2 linked regions of the Kluyveromyces lactis genome follow. The protein of the gene in region 1 purifies or fractionates together with the protein of each later gene. This does not show direct contact. Links are inferred from orthologs where the notes say so. Each region holds a gene or a part of one and is shown in the gene's direction. Other genes may lie near its edges. The genes, in order: DAD3 and ASK1.

What was found.
Region 2: the proteins of DAD3 (region 1) and ASK1 purify together in Saccharomyces cerevisiae (affinity purification with mass spectrometry; 3 studies listed by BioGRID, with this or other methods). This does not show direct contact. The link is inferred for Kluyveromyces lactis from reciprocal best matches to the Saccharomyces cerevisiae genes DAD3 and ASK1.

What each region holds. Positions count from the first base shown.
Region 1 is NC_006042.1:979,257-981,540, reverse strand, and holds DAD3 (Dad3p), read left to right. Parts: upstream 1-1,488; coding exon 1,489-1,746; downstream 1,747-2,284. Other genes in the region: TATA-binding protein-associated factor TAF6, read right to left, coding at 1-1,118; ARC40 (Arc40p), read right to left, coding at 1,937-2,284.
Region 2 is NC_006039.1:1,072,058-1,074,864, forward strand, and holds ASK1 (Ask1p), read left to right. Parts: upstream 1-1,405; coding exon 1,406-2,062; downstream 2,063-2,807. Other genes in the region: SFK1 (Sfk1p), read right to left, coding at 1-511; MDM35 (Mdm35p), read left to right, coding at 2,313-2,567. UniProt on the Saccharomyces cerevisiae protein: Component of the DASH complex that connects microtubules with kinetochores and couples microtubule depolymerisation to chromosome movement; it is involved in retrieving kinetochores to the spindle poles before their re-orientation on the spindle in early mitosis and allows microtubule depolymerization to pull chromosomes apart and resist detachment during anaphase.

The sequences.
Region 1 (2,284 bases):
TGAACCTTTGGGAACTTTTTCAAGACGTGATCGAGTAAAGAGCTAGCAAAATCACGGACAGCATTAGTCTTCTCTAAAAACTCTTTTTTATTTTGCTGGTCAACAATCTTGTCGTCAGATGAGTTTTTCGAGCCATTACCACCAAGTCTCTTCGCTAATAGTAGTGTTAAGATAGAAGGCATTAGAGAATGAATGTAAGGATCCAAAAATACTGATTGATTACTCAATAACGAATATATCATTTCCAACATTGTAGTTAACAACTCCAAATCCTCTAAATGGTGAGTAATCTGCTCTGCGATAAACTGTATGAAATATGGAACAAGCTGATGTAGTCCTGTGTCAGACTTCAACGAAGTTAAAGCTGCTGCTCTCATCCGTTGTGAATTGATATCTTCTTCCTTCGATGTAAGTGCACTAGCAACTTTTTCGAAATATATCTGTAATTCTTTAGACAAAACGTGTTTGACCAATGGCTTAGCTTCACTTGCTGCACCTGGTTTCACTTGTGTCGAGATAGGTCCATTTGCGGTGGCCTGTCTTTCTTCATTGACATTTGTTTGTAAAGAGGTTTGAACAGAAGTTTCGTTTAATGGTGAGACTATTGCTCCTCTTTGCAACGGAACTTGACTCAGCCTTAGTTCATTGATATTTGGATTTTGTGGAATGGCAGGTTGAATTCCTTCTACCGCTAGCCAATGCGCCGTGAACGTTGGTAATCTTGGAACTTCTGGTAATGGAGTATTGATCAATTTTTCAAAATCGATCTCCTCATCATCTAGGTAATAAAGCGTCTGCCCATTAGCGCCCTCCAACTTATTGAACTTAACGGGCTCATTTTTCGCTGATCCTTCCTCGAATCCATACAATGGCTCGACGTTAAGGACACGTAAAGCTTTCGCAACATCGCTTGTAGTCAAAGTAGATCGCTTACTGTGTCTCTTAAATTTCACCGCTTGTTCCACGATTTCCAAAATACGGTACTCGACATCCATCGCCAATGACCTCAACACGTCATCATTTGTATTTGAGATTCCGAGTGAATCTGCCACATCCTTCACCGTATCATGCGGGGACCAAATTGTATAAGATTGTTGCTGAGAGGACTGCTGTGACATTATTGAAATTGAACACAAATGAATAAAGAAAAGAATACCGTTTACTCGAATAAAATTTATCGCTGTTTCAGTGTATACACCTGAAACTAGAGTTTTCGAGTGGATGTTCGTGCAATAGAGGAGCGCTGGTGTTGTATTCAAATCGTTGGCTTTGTATTCCTTACTTTGAAGGATGGAGTTGTTATTCTTTCAGGATTCGATCGTTTATGTTTTTCGTCAATATTGGAAAATACCAAAAATGAAATAACGTTATCATAAGTTTACCGGATAGAGTTCCAATTGAATATGTAAGGTAAGGCAACAAAGGTAACCATTACTGGTTTGGGCTTACGTACAAATTACAAAGAAACATACTATTTGTGTTTTGAATATGTCTTCGGAACTGACACCATTGCAGCGAAGTGTGCTCGATAAATATCGCTTCCTAGCGGAGTCCTTAAGGGAATTGAGCGAAACACTTTCAGATCTAAACAACACCCATGAGGACTCAAAACCGGAAGCAATTTTACAAGAGATGCGAGAAATTGAAGTGAAAATATCTCTTGTAAGTACGCTTCTCAAAGGTAGCGTATATTCACTCGTGATACAGCGACGGATGGATCACCAACAAAAACCTTCAGATCTATGAGCGGAATCGGACTGATTATTGTAATCATAATCAGAGTTGTAACATTACATTTTAATATATATGAACATAGATATACATATTTCATTTCTAAGGCCACTCTTTTTTATTGTATTCTCACTCTGAACGTAAGAGTTATAGGGGTGATCTGATCAACTATTTGATGAAGAGATGAATCGTTTACCGTCCATATCTACAACTTGTATATAACAAGTTTACCATCCAAACCAACAGAAGAAACTTGAGTGACGTTGTTGTTAGATTCCTTGTAAGCAGCCAATTCTGTAATTGAGTTCACATGGGTAGATTTCTCTTCTTGCTGGCTAACTTTACCCTTCAAATCCAATTCCTTGAACTTTCTCAATGCGGACATACCGAAGGCACCTTCTTCTTCATCATCCCCAGTTGATGCTACCAATTTGCCAGCACTCTTAACTGGGCTATCCAAAATCTTGGACACTTCCCAACCCCTTGAACCTTCGCTGTACAAAACAGGATGATTTGAGAAACCAGCTGCTAAAATTTCATGATCATTGATCCA
Region 2 (2,807 bases), on another chromosome or scaffold:
CCACCATGGAACTGTGCACCCTAGGATACGTGTTTGTTGAGAAGATAGTGCACATAAGCAAAGCCAATTCACCTATACTTCCTAGTACGAATGAGGCCCATACTAGATTCCGTTCATGTTTGGTAAAAAATGGAGGCATGACATATTTCTTCTGAATTAAAGCTTCGATGTAGTTCGATTCCATTATAGAGCTATCGTTAGATTTTTCTAAGTCATCATGATAAGTATACGGTAACTTGAAAGGCCAATGACCAGATCTTTGAAAATACTCTAGAGCAACCATGATTACGTATCCTAGACCTTGCCATGCCGCACAAGAAATAAACAACGGTTTTAAATTGGTCGCACCAATATGGGATATATAAACCGGGAACTGGTCTGTATGCATGAACCAATAAATGGGATGACCTTGTCCTGCCCAACATGCCAACATCGCAATTAGCATCCCATACCATGGAATGAAAGCTATCCAGGGAAAGATAAACCAGTAGTTACCTGGACGTGGAAACATATTAGTATAGTCTTGCGGTTTACGTTTATACCTGTATCAAATCCAATCCTTATGAGAATGTCTACCAGTGATATTCTTTAAAGGAATGAGCTATGTTGACCTTGTCCCGTCAAATTCGGCTGGTATAATATACTCATTCTTTTCCTTATATATCTAAAACCCGACTTCCACGAATAAAAAACAATATAAACTATATTTGACATATTTATATATATATGCTTTTATATGGCATGGCTTGTGTATGGCACTGCAGTGATGCTGTCACTGATGCCTTAAATTACAACTTGCTATTCACTGAATGTAACTGTCAATCGGCTCGATGATACACTAGCTTGAGACACCCTGCGCGATTTCTGGGCGCTTTGTTGCGATATTTGCTCCAGTAAAAAAAAAAGGTTTTCTTTCGATGCTTTACTAATAGGTTTCGAGGCTTAAGAGCAAGGATGGATAACGTAATGGATGATATCTAATTTTCCACTCCGAGTAGGCAGAGCCTTCTAAGCCATTGATACCCTTGAATAGCAGACGTGACCGGTGTCCTTGAATCAGTACGTATTATGTAGTTTAGTTTATACTTTCAGCTTGGAAATATCGTAAGCCTCATCCGAATCAGCCTAGCGCTTCTTCGTTGATCTGCAGAAAGTTACCTTGGCATTGCAGAGACTTTCTTTATGTCATTTCAAATTTCTTCTTAGAGTTACAAGAGGAAATATGAATTTGACCAAAAAGTCAACAAACCGGTTTGACAGAAAGGATTTGGATTTGGAAGTGTAAATAGTGACGGTTACAGGTAACAGGACGCGGTGTCCGTTGTTATAAATATTACAGTAAACAAGGAAAAGGACGCAATTAGTCTGTGCCAATTAGCTAACACTAGGTTTCCTGTTTTACATCATGGATGCAGTGAATATTGAACAAATAGATCAAGAGATCACGTTAAATTTACAATCAATCGATTCAGACCTCTCGTACTGTTTCAACAAGATAACAAAGGATATAATACCGTACGTGACGCGATATGGACAGACTTGTGAAGATATCACGAATTCTAGTTCGTGGCTGAAAGAAATGTTTCAGCAGAGTGCTAATGTTCAGTTGGTGACGGATCAGGCTGTGGAATCTGCGGGTCAGGTTTTGGAGCCCCGGACTTCCTTATTTCCAGAGGTAGAAAACGAAACTGATGAGTTCCATACAGTCGATCAATACCCTGCTTTATCTCAAACCGGAGTAAGTTCCGCTGGTGCCCCCACCACGAAAACAGGAGGATCGGTAAAACAGGATCAATTTCAAGATCAGGATACCGATGAGTTGACTCAGGATAGTGCAATGGAAAAACAGAGGAAGAAGAGAAAAGTTTCGTTACAAATTCACCAACATTTCAATTCGTCGTCATCTTCTAATTCTTCAATGGAGAATGATATCTCTGCAAACAGTTCCCCAATAAAGACGATCCCCCCGGAAACAGAAACTGGGACAGAAACACATAACAAAATCCAGGGCGAATTGGCCAAGCCGGGAACCGTTATTCATTTTAACAGCAAACGCGATTGAAGCTCTGTCTTAGCCTTCCCCCACTCACTTCTATATCATAGTGTGTGAGGTATACATTGTTACTCAGGGTTCCAGATCCTATGACCTGAACGAACAATCACGTGATATAATACTTTCCTTTTTAGTTTCATGCTTCTATAGCTTCGTTTTCAATCGGATTTCTACATGGTGAATTTGACATTCTGATTATGTGCGATGCAGAGACTAAGTGAGTATTCATATACGATACAAGATACGCCACAAAACTACCATGGGTAACGTGATGAGTGCAAGTTTCGCTACAGAGTGTACACCTTTGAAGGGTAAGTACGATAAATGTTTTAACGACTGGTACAGCGAGAAATTTTTGAAAGGTGAGTCAATTGAAAACGAATGCCAAACCGAATGGTACGAATATATGGAATGTGTCCAAGCTAGCTTGGTGAAACAAGGCATAAAACCAGCTCTAGATGAAGCACGTAAGGAAGCACCATTCGAGAATGACGGAAAACCTGTAGAGCCTTGAATTGCGGACCAAAGAAACGCATACATACCTGCGCCATTCGCTATGATGAATCTAAGTATAAAATAAATTAAAATGGGTTTCATTTGAAACCTCTGTAAATAGAGAATACAATACAATACCTAGCGCGTATTTTTGACCACAGTAGGGTTAACATTACCAGGAGTTTCGACTGAAGTTGTACCACCGCTACGTGATTATACCTTAATCCTTTCTCCACCGTAAGTCAGGGCAACGTTCGTC